Xenopus tropicalis: one gene and its partners. The protein of the gene in region 1 interacts with the protein of each later gene in a biochemical or structural test. Links are inferred from orthologs where the notes say so. Each region holds a gene or a part of one and is shown on either strand. Other genes may lie near its edges.

What was found.
Region 2: of the proteins of mcm4 (region 1) and dbf4, one has a biochemical effect on the other in vitro, tested with the Homo sapiens proteins (2 studies listed by BioGRID). The link is inferred for Xenopus tropicalis from reciprocal best matches to the Homo sapiens genes MCM4 and DBF4.
Region 3: the proteins of mcm4 (region 1) and mcmbp form a complex in vitro, tested with the Homo sapiens proteins (2 studies listed by BioGRID). The link is inferred for Xenopus tropicalis from reciprocal best matches to the Homo sapiens genes MCM4 and MCMBP.
Region 4: the proteins of mcm4 (region 1) and ccna1 form a complex in vitro, tested with the Homo sapiens proteins (2 studies listed by BioGRID and IntAct, with this or other methods). The link is inferred for Xenopus tropicalis from reciprocal best matches to the Homo sapiens genes MCM4 and CCNA1.
Region 5: of the proteins of mcm4 (region 1) and cdc7, one has a biochemical effect on the other in vitro, tested with the Homo sapiens proteins (2 studies listed by BioGRID). The link is inferred for Xenopus tropicalis from reciprocal best matches to the Homo sapiens genes MCM4 and CDC7.

The regions. Positions count from the first base shown.
Region 1 is NC_030682.2:113,241,527-113,245,505, forward strand, and holds part of mcm4 (DNA replication licensing factor mcm4), read left to right. Parts: intron 1-232; coding exon 233-397; intron 398-1,036; coding exon 1,037-1,200; intron 1,201-1,282; coding exon 1,283-1,384; intron 1,385-1,511; coding exon 1,512-1,607; intron 1,608-1,696; coding exon 1,697-1,792; intron 1,793-1,953; coding exon 1,954-2,092; intron 2,093-2,279; coding exon 2,280-2,500; intron 2,501-2,643; coding exon 2,644-2,764; intron 2,765-3,727; coding exon 3,728-3,979. UniProt on the Homo sapiens protein: Acts as a component of the MCM2-7 complex (MCM complex) which is the replicative helicase essential for 'once per cell cycle' DNA replication initiation and elongation in eukaryotic cells.
Region 2 is NC_030682.2:29,274,809-29,278,474, forward strand, and holds the end of dbf4 (protein DBF4 homolog A), read right to left. Parts: intron 3,591-3,666; coding exon 3,473-3,590; intron 2,840-3,472; coding exon 2,715-2,839; intron 1,974-2,714; coding exon 971-1,973; 3' UTR 639-970; downstream 1-638. UniProt on the Homo sapiens protein: Regulatory subunit for CDC7 which activates its kinase activity thereby playing a central role in DNA replication and cell proliferation. Required for progression of S phase.
Region 3 is NC_030683.2:6,240,404-6,245,034, reverse strand, and holds the start of mcmbp (mini-chromosome maintenance complex-binding protein), read right to left. Parts: upstream 3,222-4,631; 5' UTR 3,102-3,221; coding exon 3,044-3,101; intron 345-3,043; coding exon 256-344; intron 1-255. Other genes in the region: sec23ip (SEC23-interacting protein), read left to right, coding at 3,537-3,669. UniProt on the Homo sapiens protein: Associated component of the MCM complex that acts as a regulator of DNA replication.
Region 4 is NC_030678.2:151,895,184-151,899,625, forward strand, and holds the start of ccna1 (cyclin-A1), read right to left. Parts: upstream 3,035-4,442; 5' UTR 3,006-3,034; intron 936-3,005; 5' UTR 912-935; coding exon 720-911; intron 278-719; coding exon 43-277; intron 1-42. UniProt on the Homo sapiens protein: May be involved in the control of the cell cycle at the G1/S (start) and G2/M (mitosis) transitions. May primarily function in the control of the germline meiotic cell cycle and additionally in the control of mitotic cell cycle in some somatic cells.
Region 5 is NC_030680.2:104,916,127-104,920,105, forward strand, and holds part of cdc7 (cell division cycle 7-related protein kinase), read right to left. Parts: intron 3,800-3,979; coding exon 3,556-3,799; intron 3,161-3,555; coding exon 3,065-3,160; intron 1,661-3,064; coding exon 1,485-1,660; intron 1-1,484. UniProt on the Homo sapiens protein: Kinase involved in initiation of DNA replication. Phosphorylates critical substrates that regulate the G1/S phase transition and initiation of DNA replication, such as MCM proteins and CLASPIN.

The DNA of each region.
Region 1 (3,979 bases):
ACCATAACTACCATGGTGAAATTATCATGATCCCCTATAGACTTTCACACACACCGTTAATACCACAGAAAAATAAACCTATTAGGATATATTTTCTGGATATATACATGGCCTGGTGCTGTTGGAAATCCCTTTTTTTTTTTTTTTTTTTTTTTTTTTTTTGATAATACATACAATGACAATACAATATTATATTTATGTGACTGTTCCCTGTGTTCCCAATGTTTTGCAGCTCATGGAGAGGAAGTGCAGTCTCCTCCATCGCAGAGACGTCGGACAGAAGATTCCACATCTATTGGCGAACTTCTGCCCATGCCAACCTCACCTTCAGGGGACCTTCAGAGCCCCAGCGGGCAAGAGCTTATGTTTTCTAGCCCTGCACCATCAAGGCATTCTGGTATGCTGAACACATTTTTCCTCAATTACCATAGCATGCAGGTTCCCATTATAACAACATTGTATTTATTTGTGGGGGGGGGTTTCTTGCTCCCCAAATCTGAGTTTTTGTATACTTGGTGTCCCTATAATAATTAAAAAAAAAAAATTAGTAAAAGTGTTTTTTTTTTTTTTTTTTTACTAAATTCCAAAAACTGCTACTGGATGTGCCCTAATGACATTAAAGGGCCAGTGATACTATGAATTGAAAATGCCCTCAAAGTATTTACTAATGACAATCACTTAGTCTGTTGATTAGAAAATACTGAACCATTTTTAGATATTTTGTTAGAAAATGCCTGTTTTCTGCTGCTGGTTTTTACCAGTTTATAATTATATACTAACTAAGACTTCATTGGGTACAAAAAGGCTATGTGCTACTACTCCTATGAAAAGTACCGCCTTCAAAAGTAACCACAATTCTAGTATTATCATTTATTTTATTGTATGGCTATGGTTGATCCCTGTTTCACTAGATTTGTTGAATAAGATTTAGTAGAGAGCTCACATGAGTAACTAAGGTGTTTTACTAAGAATTGTAAAAAGTGTAAACCCATTAAAGATATGATTTCTAACTTTTCCAAATGTATTTTGCTTACAGCCCTTCAAAGTGAGCTTGATCTCAGCTCACCTCTCACTTATGGCACCCCTAGCTCAAGAGTTGAGGGTACCCCTAGAAGTGGTATCCGAGGGACTCCTGCTCGACAGAGACCTGACTTGGGATCAGCACGCAAAGTTAAGCAGGTGGATTTACATTCAGACCAAGTAAGTATCCTAAGCTCCATAACAGGTTGTTTACAAAATGAGTATTTGGTCAACATAATAATTCTAATTATGCTTTTTCAAGCCTGCTGCAGAGGAGCTGGTTACGAGTGAGCAATCTTTGGGACAGAAGCTGGTGATCTGGGGAACTGATGTCAATGTTGCCACTTGCAAAGAAAAGTTTCAGGTAAACAACTGGCCAGTCCTTACATTTTCATGTTTTTAATTTTTTTTTTAAATTGGATCAATTAGAATTTTGAGTTGTAATTTCAGTGCCGTTTTCTAACCTTTAAGTATCTCTTCCTATGATTTAGCGTTTTGTTCAGCGATTCATTGATCCTTTAGCTAAAGAAGAGGAAAATGTAGGACTGGATCTGAATGAGCCTATATATATGCAGCGACTTGAAGAGGTATGTGTGTTTTTAAAAAAAAAAAAAAATGTAGTATTTTTCTTCCAGTAAACCTAAGAAATCCTAAATTTTATTTTCTGTCCCTTTAGATAAATGTAGTAGGTGAGCCATTTCTCAATGTTGACTGTGACCATCTCAGAAGCTTTGATCAGGATCTTTACAGGCAGCTGGTTTGCTACCCACAGGTAATTTATGTTACTGTTCTTTCAGGAAAATTAATAATTACATATGTTTTTAGAAGCCATGATTTTCAGCCTGTTGTGAAGTTAATATATGTAAAAAAAAAAAAAAAAAAATCAGAAAAAGCTCTTAATTTGTTTGTTTTTTTTTTTTTTTTCCCCCTTAGGAAGTTATTCCAACATTTGATATGGCTGCTAATGAGATTTTCTTTGAGCGGTACCCTGACTCCATTTTAGAGCACCAGATTCAAGTTAGACCCTATAATGCATTGAAAACTAGAAATATGAGAAGCTTAAATCCAGAAGGTAATAAAATATGTTCAATGTTGTTGAGTCATGTCTAGTCTTAGACTAGTTTTAGTGTTCCACTGTTGCTTCCTATCAATTGAGTGAGAAACGAACAGCATCTGAAATTGGACTTTATTTTCATGGTTGTCAGGTTGCTTTTATAAACATAAGTTAGGCTAATGACACTTTTTTTTTTTCACCCTAGATATTGATCAGCTTATCACAATTAGTGGCATGGTTATCAGAACTTCTCAAATCATCCCAGAGATGCAGGAAGCATTTTTTAAATGTCAAGTGTGTGCCTTTACTACTAGAGTGGAGATTGATCGTGGTCGCATTTCAGAGCCATCAGTCTGCAAACACTGCAACACCACACACAGCATGGCTCTTATTCACAATCGCTCTATGTTCTCAGACAAGCAAATGGTAAGTTTTTATCTCATAACATTTGCTAACCACATATTTTGTGAAGATGGAATATATGCATTTTGCATATCTTCTATGGATGTGCCACAATGTTTTGAAAATAATTTCTTATGCAGTAGATTCTCATTATACTATACTCCTAGATTAAACTGCAAGAGTCTCCAGAAGATATGCCTGCTGGTCAGACCCCTCATACAACTATTCTCTATGGTCATAATGACTTGGTGGATAAGGTACAGCCTGGTGATAGAGTGAATGTCACAGGTATGTTCATTTGTACTGCAGAACATATTTTGCAACAGTCTTAATAGTGCCACATATTCAAATGTTATAATTTCTTTACATCTTATTTTAAGAAGCTTATTTCATCCACTCTTATTTAAGTTCCAGTAACATCTAGTGCACCAAATAAGTGGTAACTCTGATGTCATGCTAGGCAGTTTCTACTTTTTTTTTTTTTTTTTCTGGGGGGACTTCCCTGCTGGCCAATATTGCAGGTCACCCATGATGATCAAAATAAATTGTGGGTAATCTGTGAATTCACATGCCTGGCAGGTTACTTGCCTTAAATGATTTGTTGCATTTTTCTAGATGAAGTGAGCAGTTTTGGCTACAATGTGGGGATTGCAAAGAAAAGGAGCTTAAAATAGTGGAAAATAGAAAGGACAGATGGCATCACTATAGGTGTGGCTTTAAATAGTGGTTAACTCTATACTAATCTTTCCTTTCCCTTTAAGATTCAGAACTGGAAAAAGAAAGGAAAAGAGAGAACTGCTTTCAATTGCTGATGCCTTTTTAAAAACATTGACAATTTATAATGTAAATAACAAAGTTGCTTAAAATTATTATTGCATCTTTATTCATTATGCAATGGGTGGAGATCCCACGGTTCTATATCGCTCTGATCTGTAAATTGCTTAGGGAGGAAAACACCATTCATATTCAAACTTGCTAGTTTGCCACAAGGCTTCTTGATAAACTTTTAATTGCTCTTGATTTTATGGTGCTGACTATCAAGGACTTGTTACATAGACTTCATATTTTTGGCTTTCTTCATGTTATGCTGGGCAACCTAGAAAGCAGAAGAAAAAGATGTTCTACTAAAGCAAAATAATCACATTTGTGTTGAGTACTAACTAGCAAGCAGTTTGTTTTAACAGCACTAAACTGCTTGGTCACAGTGGAAATAACTAATTATTTAGCAACTTCAATGTTTTATTTCTCCAGGTATTTACAGAGCTGTCCCAATTCGAGTTAACCCTAGAGTTCGAAATGTAAAGTCTGTTTACAAAACTCACATTGATGTTATTCATTACCGAAAAACTGATGCAAAGCGGTTGCATGGTATTGATGAGGACACAGAACAGAAGATGTTCACTGAAGAAAGGGTTGCAATGTTAAAAGAACTTGCAGCAAAACCAGACATCTATGAGAGGCTTGCTTCAGCTCTTGCACCAAGTATATATGAGCATGAAGATA
Region 2 (3,666 bases), about 84 Mb from region 1:
GCATATAGTGTAAAGACAACATGGTAACCAATTTAATAGGTCTATGCATACATTAATTTTATTCTTATCTGTTGTCATATGTATGATCTGTATAATGTACGCCTTTGCAGTGACATTTTCCTTGGAGTTTCACAGAACCACAACACAAGGTTTAAGAAGATTGTCTATTTTGTAGTTAGCTATGAAACCTAGCTAAGGTATATATGCACATTTAATTTAGTAGGTTGCAGCAAAGATACAGTTTCATTTAGTGGAGCAAACTATAAATCAGTTTGCTATTTAAAAAAGGAGCATCATACCCATTTATTCAACACTAAATTAATTCATAGGGCTTGTGCTGAACAAACTTTATTAGGAAATACTGTATGCATGGTTTTTTTTTGTTATTTCTTGCTCATTAAAAAGTAAAAGTCACAGTTCTCCATCATGTTATTATATGCACAATTATCTCAACAAAAGGTTTCCGCTTAGGGAACAGTCGTTTATGCAGAGACAAAAACACATGTTCAGCACAAGCCCTATTTGTTAAAGCAATATTGTCATGGGAAAACATGTTTGTTTTTCAAAACACATCAGTTAATAGAGCTTCTGCAGCAGAATCCTGAATTGATATCAGTTTTTCACAGATTTTTTTTATATTTAATTTTGAAATTTCAAGAGCACTCCATATTCTTAATCTGAATCATGAAACATAAGAAAACCTACAGACTTGTAACCACAGAAACACACCAGCAAAATTTCCAAAGAGAAAGATTAGAACATTATGTTCTATGTGAGTAATGAAACTTAAGAACATTATTGTGAGAAATACGTTTTACTTACTAAAATAAGAGTGTCTTTAAGTATTACTGTTGCTATACAAAGAAATCTCACATCTGGCTATTTATTTTGTGGATTAAAGAAAAGTATTTTCCGCGCATTAAAATCATTAAAACAAATAATAAAATTACAAATAATTAAAACTCAAACATTAAAAGCCAAGAAACGAAGAGCCAGACGTGGTGGTGTGCGAGAAGAGAGACAAAAGCAAGTTTTTGTGGGCTTGATCCCGATTATCGCCATCATCCATACTGCATGGGTCACACACACAGCTGCCAGCAAACCCAAAAAACTCAGTTTTATCCTCACTGGACTCAAACATTGCTAGCAGAGTTTCACTGGGTACATTTAAAACATCATTTTGCTGTGGAACAGACACCTTATGCGAGAGTCTGCAGAGAAGCTCATCATCAGCTAGGTTTGTTTGAGCAGAAGTCTTCAGTTTCCTGTGCAGATTTCCTGAAGGCGAGTAATCAGGCAGGAGACTCTGGAGCTCATCCGACTGTACAGTGGGATATATTTGGTCCATTGTTCTATGCCCTTCTTTGTTGTGAAGGTGATTTACAGTCTTAGGAAATGTAATATTATCACACACAGCTGGATCCATTTTTCCATAAGTGAGAGCTGCCTGGCATGCAGTCAATTTACTACAATGTATATTTCCCTTTAGAGAGACATTCGCGTACTGTGCGACAGCGTCTACCTTCTGTGGAACATATAGTAAGATATTGCTAGGAATGTTGCTAGCATCCCACCCAATCTTTGGCCTCTCCATAGTATGATCTATAGTTTCATTTTGTTTCGTTTCATTGTAAACAACTGACATTTCTCTTTCACCTAATGAACCCGGGAGATTGTCCTTCAAACACAAAGCTGGCACAGATGTTGCTACAAGTTGCTCAAAGTTGTCTGTTGTATATTTTTTGTTGCATAATTCTGCAGATCCCACAGGAGAGGGCAAGGAAAACATTGGATCGGTATTGCAAACAGGAGTTGGTGGAACAGAACAAGAAGTAGCATAAGGATCCTTTAACGTATTCTCCTGCAGTGGGGTGGTAGCTGACACTCTTTCTGAAAAAGTGTTTGCTTTTGAAGCTTCATTTCTCTCCTGGCCTTCAGCTTTATATTTTTCAGTCAACATCAATATCCCCACACTACAAATAAAAAAAAAATAATATACATATATAATGAATATATGGAAAGTAACAGGTAACCAATAAACTCTACCTGCTGGTATGGTTACTATACCTGGTGCAAATGTTATAACCTATTAAATGTGAACTTTGGCTTCTGAACCTAAATTTGTTAAAGAGCCCCACACAACACAAACTCCTAATACACCTATTGCTATTATCTGTTCCTTCAAAAAGTATTAATAAATACGATTTTATTTGCTGAAATCCAGCTTCAAAATGGTTCTTCTTTCTGCATCATCCTGGCAGGGGAGGAGGGACTAAAATATTAGTGTTATTTCTCCACAGCTTACAGAATGCAGGAACTACATAACCCACAATACTTTGCACCGTTATATTCCTTTTCTTATTGACATCATGAGTGAAGGGGATTGTGTGATTTGAAGGCGCAGGCTGAGGACAATTGAATACGGTTACACTTTATTTGAAGTAGTCAGCCAGATCAGCAGGAGAACAGGGGGGCCAGGCTTAGGGAACTGTTCCAAATCATATTACATCAAACATCATGAAAAGGCTGCATATTATTTAACTGTTTATTGCAAAGTTGTTTGAAATTATGTTTACCTTTTAAAAAGCTTATGTTGTGTTTGAGTAGAGTTCCACTTTAAAAAAAAGAATACCACCTGAAAATGGTAGCAAGCTGACTTTATTGCCAAGCAATGCCCTGGCTGAGTAGTTGATATTTACAATTTATGTATTTACCTTTTTCTTCCATTTTTGTATTTCGACCAATCCACAAAGTCAAACTCAAAAGTAGAAATAAGATCATCAACCACTTGATAGTATGCACTTTCTGAATAGTTCTTATGCTGTGGGCTTAAAATATGCTGCAATAAAAAAAATGAATCCATAAATTATGTATGTATACACATATTAATGCGTGTAAAGGACTGCTAAATTTTACATTACATGATATGTTAATATGAAGACAGGATAAAAATACAAAATGGAGTTTGACTGCTCTAAGCAAATGCATTCCAATGGACTGACACAGTTAGGAAAAAGTTAATAACTCAGAATAACATTTGGTCCAGAGTATAATAATGTCACTACATGTGAAAACTTTGATAGCACTGGTTTGTATGTATGCATGATCTAAGTCCTTACCATGCAGTCCTTACCACTGGAATATTAGTAACAAACTTAGGGGCTGATATATCAAAATGTAAGATTAGAGCTCACCACAGAATAATTCACCCAATTTCTATTCATTTCTATTGGATTTTAGAGGTGTATTTATGAATGAGTAAACTTAAAATTCACCCTTTGATAAATATGCTTTTAAAAAGCCCATAGGAATAAATAGAAAGAGGGTGAATTTTTCTGTTTTGAGCTCTAATCCCCCTTAACATATTAAACTGCAAAAAATATTTTACAAGTAAAATTATATAGTTTTTAGTTATGTTTAAAATAGTACTAAGTCTCTATAATTTATTAAAGAAAAAATAGATTATACTTACAGATTCCAGACTGTCGTATTTTTTAAGACAGCACTCACAGTAGCCATGCTTCTTTTGCTCCTTTAATTTAATATTTGCATTGTTTGCACCATCCTGTACGTGACCAGTCTTATTTATACTGCAAAACAATACATGGATTAGGAATGCGGCACATAAAAATAATGACTACATTATCAATTAAAATTTCTTCCTAT
Region 3 (4,631 bases), on another chromosome or scaffold:
TCTGTGAGGCTCCAGTTTTATTGTTATTCATTTTCTTTGTTTAGGTTCTATCCTATATCAGTGTCTCATTCAAGCCAATGCCTGGTCGCTAAGGTAATTTGGGCCCTAGCAACTAGATGAAATTCCAAACATGGAGAGTTGCTGAACAAAAAGTGGAATATTACTCTCTACATCAGTGACCCCCAACCAGTGGCTCAGGGGGGCAACATGTAATGGTGGGCAAGGGGCCGGTGTTGCTAAAGGAAGAGCACTTACGGCAGCGGCAGAGTCACTGTCCCGTAGCTTGGCACTGAAGTAGTCGGTAACGTTCTTCTGCCAGTCGCCATCTGCCGGTCTCTGAGCTGCTGGAATACAGGGCACGGGGTGAGATCGGGGGTCTCATAGAGAAACATATTGGAGGGGGCACACATGGCATAATGAAAAGCAAAACGCTAATAGCTGAAAGGGATAAACATGATATTCAGTAAAGTTGGTCTTTTTTCTACCTGAGCTACTACGTAACTGTGTAATGCACTCACACCCATGTCCTGATTCAGGGTACAGTAGCCTGGGGCCCCCCAGCTGCTATTGGGGCACATCCTGTGCAGCGCTAAACCCAGTGCCCACCTAAGTGAGAGGGTGCCACCCAACACTACATACCTGTGCCACCCCCATGCATACAGCGAGCAGGGAATGTGGGTGCTGGGTGCCACAGTTCAACAATCAGGGATCGTTGGGCTACTAGAGGCCGCTCCATACTCAGCAGAGATGGCATGGTGCCACAGGTGCCATCACACTAAAGGGCATCTTTATATTAGGGTGTAAGCAAACATCACTAGTCATGTTGCCATAGCAACCAACCAGATATTTACATTTTAGAACTTATAATGTTGCCTACACACTATAATAAATATGCCCCTAAATGGGTTTTCTCTACCCGCCCGCCTGCCCCACTCATGCCCGGCTCTACCCGCCCGCCCCACTCATGCCCGGCTCTACCCGCCCGCCCCACTCATGCCCGGCTCTACCCCCCCTCATGCCCGGCTCCGCCCGCCCCACTCATGCCCGGCTCTACCCGCCCCACTCATGCCCGCCCCACTCATGCCCGGCTCTACCTGCCCGCCCCACTCACGCCCGGCTCTACCCGCCCGCCCTCCCCCCAACTCATGCCCGGCTCTACCCGCCCCACTCATGGCCCGGCTCTACCCGCCAGCCCCACTCATGCCCGGCTCTACCCGCCCGCCCCACTCATGCCCGGCTCTACCCGCCAGCCCCACTCATGCCCGGCTCTACCCGCCAGCCCCACTCATGCCCGGCTCTACCCGCGGCCCACTCATGCCGCGGCTTCTACCCGCCCGCCCCACTCATGCCCGGCTCTACCCCGCCCCACTCATGGCCCGGCTCTACCCGCCCCACTCATGCCCGGCTCTACCCCGGCCCCCCATGCCCGGCTCTACCCGCCCCACTCATGCCCGGCTCTACCCCGCCCCATCATGCCCGGCCTGCTACCCGCCCACCCGCCCCACTCATGCCCGGCTCTACCCGCCCGCCCCCATCATGCCCGGCTCTACCCGCCCGCCCCACTCATGCCCGGCTCTACCCGCCCCACTCATGCCCGGCTCTACCCGCCCCACTCATGCCCGGCTCTACCCGCCCGCCCCACTCATGCCCGGCTCTACCGCCCCACTCATGCCCGGCTCTACCCGCCCCACTCATGCCCGGCTCTACCCCGCCCCACTCATGCCCGGCTCTACCCGCCCCACTCATGCCCGGCTCTACCCGCCTGCCCCACTCATGCCCGGCTCTACCCGCCCGCCCCACTCATGCCCGGCTCTACCCGCCGCCCCCACTCATGCCCGGCTCTACCCGCCCGCCCCACTCATGCCCGGCTCTACCCGCCCCTCACCCGCCCCACTCATGCCCGGCTCTGCCCGCCCCACTCATGCCCGGCTCTACCCGCCCCACTCATGCCCGCTCTACCCGCCCCACTCATGCCCGGCTCTACCCGCCCCACTCATGCCCGGCTCTACCCGACCCGGCTCACCGCCCCACTCATGCCCGGCTCTACCCGCCCCACTCATGCCCGGCTCTACCCGCCCCACTCATGCCCGGCTCTACCCGGCCCCACTCATGCCCGGCTCTACCAGCCCCACTCATGCCCGGCTCTACCCGCCCCACTCATGCCCGGCTCTACCCGCCCGCCCCACTCATGCCCGGCTCTACCCGCCCGCCCCACTCATGCCCGGCTCTACCCGCCCGCCCCACTCATGCCCGGCTCTACCCGCCCGCCCCACTCATGCCCGGCTCTACCCGCCCGCCCCACTCATGCCCGGCTCTACCCCGCCCACTCATGCCCGGCTCTACCCACCCCACTCATGCCCGGCTCTACCCGCCCGCCCCACTCATGCCCGGCTCTACCCCCCCCACTCATGCCCGGCTCTACCCGCCCCACTCATGCCCGGCTCTACCCGCCCGCCCCACTCATGCCCGGCTCTCTACCCGCCCCCACTCATGCCCGGCTCTACCCGCCCCACTCATGCCCGGCTCTACCCGCCCCACTCATGCCCGGCTCTACCCGCCCCACTCATGCCCGGCTCTACCCGCCCCCACTCATGCCCGGCTCTACCCGCCCCACCCATTGCCCGGCTCTACCCGCCCCACTCATGCCCGGCTCTACCCGCCCGACTCATGCCCGGCTCTACCCGCCCCACTCATGCCCGGCTCTACCCGCCCCACTCATGCCCGGCTCTACCAGCCCCACTCATGCCCGGCTCTACCCGCCTGCCCCACTCATGCCCGGCTCTACCCGCCCGCCCCACTCATGCCCGGCTCTACCCGCCCGCCCCACTCATGCCCGGCTCTACCCGCCCCACTCATGCCCGGTTCTACCCGCCCCACTCATGCCCGGCTCTACCCGCCCCACTCATGCCCGGTTCTACCCGCCCCACTCATGCCCGGCTCTACCCGCCTGCCCCACTCATGCCCGGCTCTACCCGCCCCACTCATGCCCGGCTCTACCCGCCCCACTCCTGCTGGCCCGGGGGCCGGACGCTGCCCCACTCACCAAACAAGCCCTGTACCACACCGAGCGGGTCGCTGATCCAGCTTTCTCCTCCAGTCATCGCGCAGACACCAAAGACTCGTTGAACTAACTCAGTGATGGCGGGAAAAAGACGTCACTACGCAATGGGTCGCGTCAAGCGCTCCCGAAACGCACTGGTTGGCGGAAATCTCCATGAGCGCGGCCATGTTTTGGCTGGAGTGCACGTAGCGACTGGCGGAAGTCCTCAGCCGGGCAGCCACATTATAGTTAGCGAAAGGGATAGGAACCTCTGGAACCGCCCTTTTATCTAAACGCACGGTTTAATTGGTGGAGCTGAGGTGCTACGTCATGCATATGAACTTTGCTCTTCAGCCACTGGTTGGGGAGGTTTGTGTTTGGCGAGTTCTCATTGGATAACGCGGAACGCCCGTAGGTATTGATTGGACGTACTCACTTGGTGACGGGTCCGGTTCCTGCTGTCCCGGGTGGGTTACGTGGAACTTGTGGGACGGACATGGCGGGGAAGGTACCTAACGGGGCTCAGTCCGGGCCGCCTGGCAACAACCTGCTCTTCTCCGCCTCCGAGATCAGCTTCTCCCTTCCCTTCATCCCTGTGAGCCAGCACGGCCCCGCAATGCTTCCGAGCGGTGAGTAAAGGGGCCCCTCACTCCTACTGCCCAGTGCCCCCCAACCCTGTCCTACTGCCCAGTGCCCCCCAACCCTGTCCTACTGCCCAGTGCCCCCCCAACCCTGTCCTACTGCCCAGTGCCCCCCAACCCTGTCCTACTGCCCGGTGCCCCCCACCCTGTCCTACTGCCCAGTGCCCCCCAACCCTGTCCTACTGCCCAGTGCCCCCCAACCCTGTCCTACTGCCCAGTGCCCCCCAAACCCTGTCCTACTGCCCAGTGCCCCCAACCCTGTCCTACTGCCCAGTGCCCCCAACCCTGTCCTACTGCCCAGTGCCCCCCAACCCTGTCCTACTGCCCAGTGCCCCCCAACCCTGTCCTACTGCCCAGTGCCCCCAACCCTGTCCTACTGGCCCAGTGCCCCCCAACCCTGTCCTACTGCCCAGTGCCCCCCAACCCCTGTCCTACTGCCCAGTGCCCCCCAACCCTGTCCTACTGCCCAGTGCCCCCCAACCCTGTCCTACTGCCCAGTGCCCCCTACCCTGTCCTACTGCCCAGTGCCCCCAAACCCTGTCCTACTGCCCAGTGCCCCCCAACCCTGTCCTACTGCCCAGTGCCCCCCAACCCTGTCCTACTGCCCAGTGCCCCCCAACCCTGTCCTACTGGCCCAGTGCCCCCCAACCTGCTGCCAGTGCCCCCAACCCTGTCCTACTGCCGTGCCCCCAACCTGTCCCTACTGCCCAGTGCCCCCCAACCCTGTCTACTGCCCAGTTGCCCCCAACCCTGTCCTACTGCCCAGTGCCCCCCAACCTGTCCTACTGCCCGTGCCCCCAACCCTGTCCTAAGGCCCCCCAACCCTGTCCTACTGCCCAGTGCCCCCAACCCCTGTCCTACTGCCCAGTGCCCCCCAACCCTGTCCTACTGCCCCGTGCCCCCCAACCCTGTCCTACTGCCCAGTGCCCCCAACCCTGTCCTACTGCCCA
Region 4 (4,442 bases), on another chromosome or scaffold:
ATTAAAGGGAAAATGCAGAGCTTTAGCAGGGATTAAACAAACCTGCACTGAGATCCAAGAGCAGATGGATGTTCTGCTTCACGATATTTGAATCTACTTCATCCAGAGTGGGACAATCCTCTTCAATCGAATAGGTTTCTGTTGGCTCCTCTGGCTCATCCACATACACTGTAAAGATTGGCTTTGGAGCCACAAGTGCTGGGTTTGTTGGCAGGATTTTTCCAGCGAAAGGAAGCACATTTTCAATTCCAGGCAGACACTTTGCAGGGGCCCCACCCTAAGAGTTGGAACACTGATTATTTAATCTGCACAGGTAGACCTAGCCGTGTTTTTTTTTTTTTTTTTTTTTTAAACCCCCCCCCCCACACACACACACGTTATTAAGCCTGTCCAACTGGAAGCCCATCCAAAGGCTTTTCATGGCCCCCAGTCTGCCCAAAGGCTCCATGAATTTCAATATATGACATTTTAATTTAATCTGGCCCTTGAACTTGTGGATGACTCCAAGCTGTTAAGGAAAAAGCCTGTCTAAAGCTGCCTCAGAAGCCACTAACCACTAAGTTTAGTTTAATCACTATTTTACTTTTAGATACCCATTAAGAATTCCACTGCCTGTTACAATGAATGGATACACCAGCTCAGAGGCTCTGTAAACAGGTGTATTTCTTAAGTAAAACTAGTGGTAGTGGGCAGTATTATCTGGTACTATAAACACTTACCTGTCCAACTGATCTTTTTTGCTGGTCATTGTCACTTATCACTCCCAGCACAGTTCTTTGAGAAACTCTTGGAGGCAGAAGGTTAGACTGAACTTCTACCTTGGCTAGGCACTGATTCTGGAATGCATTGCCGGTTCCCACCAGAGAGGAGGCTGTAAGGATATGGCCACCAGATACCATACTGCGCCGCATTTTCCTTGTTCAAGTTTCAGTTAACTAGGAAAAAAAATTAAAGATTTAACAAGCTCCATTTTTGCAACCAGATGAATTCCATTACAAAAAAAAATAGTTAGAGATAGAGTATATATCTGCTCTACTGCAGGTGACTAGTCCACAGCAAATGCTCTCCCACTGGCAATAATGTTAATTGCTAGTGGAAAAACCACTCATTGCTTTATAGAAACTTAGGAATGACATTGCTGGTGGGAAAGCATTTTCAGGAGGTCACCCGCAGTAGAGCAGATTTATTGCAGATAACTAACCTGCCATCACCCTTACCAGTAATGATCTGTGGCTTAGACAATAGCCAAGTAGCTCCAGCACATGATATGGGGAGGTTGCAATAACGTTCCCCTTACCCCACAACACCAAACACACCCGCATTTATCTGGGTGGAAAGGCCACAGCTTATTTTATTGATAACATAACAGAATTGTAATCAATGTTTCAATCCAAAACACTTTAGACCAATTACATAAACATATGTTACATAACATTTAGCCGCTAAAGGCTGCATTACAATTACTTAAAGTTAACCTTAAACATTTAAAGAACCCTTTCAAGCCTGTGACTAAGCCTCCGCAACCAAACTTTCCCACCTCCTGTGCCTACTATGACTGCTTCCCCCCCCCCCCCCAAAGCCTAGCCCCCCCCAGAAAAACACCTGTACCGTCATCTATTTAGCCATTTTTCGGCTCCCACTAAGGCAGCCCTAGCACGCCTAAAGCTGCGACTACTCAAACCCATATCCCCTTATTGCCTACCAACCCCCCCCCCCCCCCCCAACCCCTTACTCCAGGGTGGCACTACAACTCCCAGCATGCTACACACTAACTTCCTTTGGGTTCCTATTCACCCCCTTGTCATGGCCTTGCGCCGCTCTACCTGTTCCAGACTCGCTTTTCCGGGCTGCTTGATCTAGCTTGCCGTCAGTTACAGACGATATAGGGAGCTCCCATCCAGAAGAGCTAGATAATGTTATAGGGCTGTAGAACTTACGGGCTGACAGTCAGTATATACAATACAGCATATCTAGCAATGTTCATTTTAAGCCCTCCTTGTAGTAACTGACTGGCTTCAGGTTTGACCACTAAGAACTTGCTCAAGACCCAGATGAACCAGAGACTGGGTTCAGCCAGACACCCAGTCCTAATTTATGTAGTCCAGCTTGAGAAAAGTCAAGCTTCTCATCTGAAAGTTACTTCAGCTAGCCAAGAGGTCAGATTCTGAACTTTCTGACAAATAGCCCCAACTTGTAATCCACCCTTACTGATGTCAATTGGAATATGTGGAAACCACCACATTACAAGAAATTCCTGGAGCTTATTGCTTGTGGGATTATGTAGGGTACAGGTTTACAGAGAAAGCAAAGTTAAAAGGGGGCACTTCACTTCAAGTATGAGGTGGACAGACAAATTTGCAATTGTTTTTGGGTTTTTTTTTTTTTTTAAATCATGGTTAGCAGCTCTCCAGTGGAATTTGGGCAGCTAACCAGTTACTAGTGTCAAATGTACCCTAGCAACCAGTGACTCAAATGAGACTGAAAGTCCTGAACAGAACACAGTTCTCATTGGGGTCAGTGACTCACTTACTCTAATTAAAGAGTTAGAGGGGGAAAAAAATATATAGTTAATAGGGCATTTTATACCATAGAAGTTATTAACCTGAAAGTGAACCATCCCTTCAAATTGACCCCAAGCATTATAGCAAAGCTGGAGCCCCGGAGCAATGGAACATAAGAGACACAACTTACAAGTGAGTTACTACAACCCCACACTATAGCCCTGTACTACCAGAAGGATTAGAGTAGACAAACTGAAGGGCCACAGGTTCGATATCCTATTCCGTTAGAGGCAGGAGATGCTGCGGAACTACAGCTCCCAGCTGACAGAGTCTGGCACCTTATCTCTAACCCATACCTCCCTATAGAGCCATGGCAGCTTTCTATAGCAGCAGCTCCACATTACCAAGCCACCCTAACACCACTTATAGAGAGAGTATCCGAGTATAACAAAGCAGTTCAACCCCCCCATCAACCCAACAGCGAGCAACCCTGCAAGCACCTACCTGCTGCAACTACAAGCACCCAACACAGACCTCGCACCTTCCTACCCCGAGCAGGGCCGGGGATTTTATGCGAAGCAGGAAAGTGGTGGCAGCTGAGCAGCGGGGCCGGTGATTGGAGGCGGCTGTGCATCTGCCCGAGTCCCGCTGCTGCTACTCAATAACATAACTAACTCCGGTGTTTTCAATTGAGCCGCGGTTAGGGATCCTGTCCAATCAGAGGCCGCTCAGCTGCGCGTCACATGGTCTGGTCTCCGTAGCGACCAGGAAGCAGCTTGACAGCCGGGCAGGAGCAGGGGGTTCAAGCGCCTTAACAACGAGTGACAGCTGTCAGGGCTGTGATAACTGACCATCTGAGGCGCAGGCTTGGCCCCGCCTTCTCCCACATGTCAAGTGACAGGGATTGCGCACGTACCTCTGATGTGTCAAACCCAAGCACAGGCTTTATAACTTAATAAATGTGTCAAACCCGAGCACAGGCACAATTGCTTTATGACTTGGATATTAATGTGAACATTTTCCACTACACTTTCCGGGGATCATGGGACTTGGGGTTGTATGGGGATAAGTGTTTTATATCAAGAACAATGGTTTGGGATTCATTACATTATCAATTGAACATAGAGGATAGCAAATTGTAGGGCACTTAGGGCTACACCCTGTCTCACACAAATCTCCTCAGACCCTGCAATGGCAGCCGGCCCGCTATTGGCAGCACAATGGCGCTATTCCCCCTATTTGGCAGCACAATGGCGCTATTCCCCCTATTTGGCAGCACAATGGCGCTATTCCCCCTATTTGGCAGCACAATGGCGCTATTCCCCCTATTTGGCAGCACAATGGCGCTATTACCCCTATTTGGCAGCACAATGGCGCTATTCCCCCTATTTGGCGGTGCCATCCACTCATATAACGTTTATTGTGGGCGCCCACTAGCCGGGACCTGTAATTAAGCAACTCGCCATCTGATGCCAAACGCCGGGCTGCGGGGGAGGGAAGCAAGGCGGCTTGTGGGAGGAGCCAGTCGCTAGCCACCACAGGCACCGCCGCACTGAGGGACGTGAGGGGATACTGGCAGGGAGCGGGCTGGGGGAGTACAGCGGCTCCTTAGTTACCCTGGAGGCATCAATTAAATATAGCTAGTAGCATCAGGCTTATATAGGGACCCACTGATCGCCTGTTAAGCCTTTGTTGTGCCCGCTGAGCTGGGTAATTAACTGGAACTTTCACTGCTGCCAAGCCCGTCTCCGGCTTCTCTCTGGATTTCCATGGCAATGGCGAACAGATTTCCCCGTATTCATGCCATATGAAATGCTGCTAAATAGTTACTCAGGGTGGGGGCACCATAAGGAATATTCTCATTTCTATTTGAGGGTCCCTACAATTATTTTACTGTAGGACCCAGAGTGGCATAACTAGAGGTTACTGGGCCCCAGAGCA
Region 5 (3,979 bases), on another chromosome or scaffold:
AAACCAATAGCATTGTGTTGCTTCCAATAAGGATATCTAAGTTGGGATCAAGGTACTGTTTTATTATTACAGAGAAAACAGAAATCATTTTTAAAAATAGAAAGTATTTTATTAGAATGAAGTGTATGGCAGATGGCCTTCCTGTAATTCAGAACTTTCTGGATAACAGATTCCATACTATATACAGTATAATCTATATAGTGTGTGATTACTAAACGTTAACATGAGTTAAGAGAGTTAAGGGGGAACTCAGGATTCTAAACCAAAATTTGTTGAAGGAAAACTATACCCCCATGATGAATACTTAACAGATAGTTTATCTTAGTGTTAAGGTTATCTTATGTTTAGTGATTAAAGAATATCTGCAATATATCAGTAAATATTACCCTTTAGGGCTCTGGCAGACGGGGAGATTAGTCTCGGGCGACTAATCTCCCCAAAATCGTGCCGCCGCGTATGCCATCCCACCGGTGATTTACATTTTCGCCGGTGGGATGGCAATCCGGGGAGATTAGTCGCCCGCGAACAGGGAGTTTTGTCGCTGGCGACTAATCTCCTAGTCTGCCAGAGCGCTCCTTAACATCCTTTCCCTTGATCCACCATTTAGTGATGGGTTGTGTGCTCCCTCAGAGATCACATGAGCAGGAATAATGCAGCTTTAACTGCAACAGGAAGAATTGTGGAAGCAAAAGGCAGAACTCTGTCCATTAATTGGCTGATGTGGCAGAGCATGTATGTGTGCCTTGGCTTGTTTGTGTGCACTGGGAATCCTATGATCCCAGGAGGTGGCCCTTAATTCGTAAAATGGCAATTATCTATTTAGGAGTACCCAATAGCACATACTACTAAAAAGTATATTTTTATGCAAATGGTTTATTTAGATGAAGCAGGGTTTTACATATTAGCTTGTGTACAGAACTTGTGTTACAGACAGCATGCAGGAAATACATAACCCACAATGCATTGCACTGTGATTTTCCTTTCCTTACTGACATCACGCGTGCAGGAAATTGGAGGATGCAGGCTAAGGACAGTCAACCAATGTTACATTTTATTTGAGTCAGCCAGGTCAGCAGGAGAACAGGGGGGCAGGCTTAGGTAACTGTTCCAAACAATATTATTACATTATAAATCATGAAAAGGCTGCATATTTTTTTTAATTGATGTATATTGCAAAGTTGCTTGAAATTATGTTTAATTTTCAAAACGCTTAAGTTGTGTTTTGGTGGATTTCCTCTTTAAGTAAATAAAGGGTTAAGTTCAAGAAGACTGGCTGCTACTTTTCACATGGGTGATATGGGTGCTGGATAAATGTGTCACTATTTCCCTTTAATAGTACATTGTGTTAAAAGCATCAAACAAAGACGTAAAATGCGACAAATATGCAATAAGGGAAAATCAGAAAGGGAAAAATACTATTCCCATTACTAAGAAATTCTTATTATCCTTTTTTTTTTTTTTACAGCACAAACTCAAATGTTTACCTTGCAAGGCAAATATTACACACTTGATCTTTTGCATAACAGTCGCAGGCCAAGCTTGTTTGGCATATACTGGAAGCTTTCTTATTGACACTACTACTTGTGCTTTTTGCAGAAACAGTCTTTCTTGTTGCCAGCTTTCTTGTTGTTACATCTAGCATTTTGGATGGTTTTACTGCCTACAATAAGAAGGTAAATAAGGATACCACGGTTAGAGTAGTTCTAATAATGGAGAACAAACAGCAGGTGAAGTATACAGTACTTACAGAGATAAAACAGCTTTCCCATAGAAGACCTTAATTGTATTTCATATGAAGGCCTTTACACATGGGTGTTGCCTCCCTGTACAGGGGCTATTTTGTGCATTACACAGCACAGGAATGCAGAAGTGAAGTAACCACAGACTTCTTTGTGAGGACTGTAGACATGAGGTGCACCAAAGAGCTAACAAGGTAAAACTGGACATTTTATCTGCATTCAGAGCTTGTGCGCACCTGCGGATGCAGTCCTCATAGTCAGCTTGTGCCTTCCTGTGCGGTGCAATGCACAAAAAAGCCACTGCCCAGCAATGAACTTAGAAACACCCACGTGAATGGGACATTAGGAAGGCTATGTTGTTGAAATAACTAACTTTTTTCTTATATAGACAGTAAAAAATGTCACAGCTTCCAAATAATGAATATTAAACTTAAAGCAAATATATTTATATATATATTATATATATTATTTTTTAGTAATACTTTAATAACAATAATACAATTAAAAGCATGAGTTACAGTGTATAACTTTCATGCTTTTGACAGTAGGGCCCATTTACTTACATTCATATTTAAGTAAAAATTTAAAACCACAAATGTAAAAATCTGCCATCTGAATGCTGTCGAGGTAATGTAGAAGTCATTGGGAGCTGTCCTAGGCAGAATGTAAATCTTGATTTTTTTTTAAGGTTTGTGTGTAATTTTTAATTTGCAGGCATATGAAAATGTTAGGTTTTCTTTTTATTTTTGTTCCGCATTTTTATTCATTTGTTTTCAAATTTGGATCTTTCAATAAATGACAAAACATTTGTGGTTTTAGTGGAAATTAGTTTATTCATGGTTTCAAAAAAAACTCTAAAACCATAAAGTTGATAAATGGGCCTCCACGTATGGCTCAATAAGCTTCTTAATGTAATAAAAATAGAGTTGGTGGGGAGCCTGAGAATATAACACCACCATATATAGCAAATCAGAATTTCCCATAAACCAGAGCCACACCTAAAGTAAGTACAAAAAGGCATATATATTTTTTTTAGCTAGTTTTTTAGTTAGCCAAACTTCTAAGCAGCAAATAGCATCAATATTTAAAAAATGTAAAATGAACAATTAACACATCCAGCCCACAGCTTATAAAAATGCTAATGAATATGAAATGTGCTGGCACTTGAAGAGTTAAATCAAACGAAAGACCAAACTTACAGCACTAACATAAACAACAGTTCTCTGCAGAACACATTCTCTTCAGGTTGAAGGAGCATAGATTCATTATTTACAGAATTAAATGAAATATTGACATTTCTTAATAGGCAACACATTTTGACTTACTTTTAAAGTGGTGTTGTCAGTGGTGACAGCACTGTGCACATTAAAATTCCTCTCTCCAAATACAGACCGCTGAGCAGAGCTGCCAAACAGCCCTTCCTGAAAAACCAATCCAAATCAAGTACAATAAGAATTATATCTAACACACTGAAAATGAAGGTAGTAGTACATAAGTAAAATGAGAACAGCTGCATGCATGTTTTCAGGCAACCAAATCTTTTCCATGTGGAAAAGAACAGTCTAGACAGAGCTATAAACAATATAATGAACATGGTCTTAACAAAAATGCACTGAAACATACTCTTGATACTATGAAAAAATGAAGCAAATGTGACCACCAACCAAAAATATACATAACTGAACTGTGTTAAACATAAAAAGTTATCAGAGGTCTGTTTTGTTTTTTGGTAAAATAGTATAATAAATAGGGGTTTATGTCTTTGGCAAATTCTATGCTTGGTGTTCACCCAAAAAGAGAAAAAAAGACTGAGGACCTGTCCATGGTTTCCTGTGGATATATGAGTTCCTGAATGTGACCACTGCTTTTTAACAGACTGTTTTGATGATACATGGTTTACTTTTCTAAGTACCGGTATATTCTGATGCACCCAGTTTCCTGATATAATATACGGATGATTTTGTGAGCAACTTCCCTGTTTTTTGGGCTGCAAAACTTTCAGAAGATCAATTTTTGTGTCTGGTGTTCCTTGAGCCAAGCCAAAGTCTACTAATGCAAACCTGAAAAATAAACAACCATTTTGTTAGATTGATATTAGAAGTGAATACATAACAGTATTTTTTTAAATATGGGTGTAAATATGCATGTCTACATGCCCACAACAATTAATGATCTTCACTGTTAATTTGACCGCAAATACATTTTTGTACACTTAAAGCAGTACAAGCTATTGTTCCATG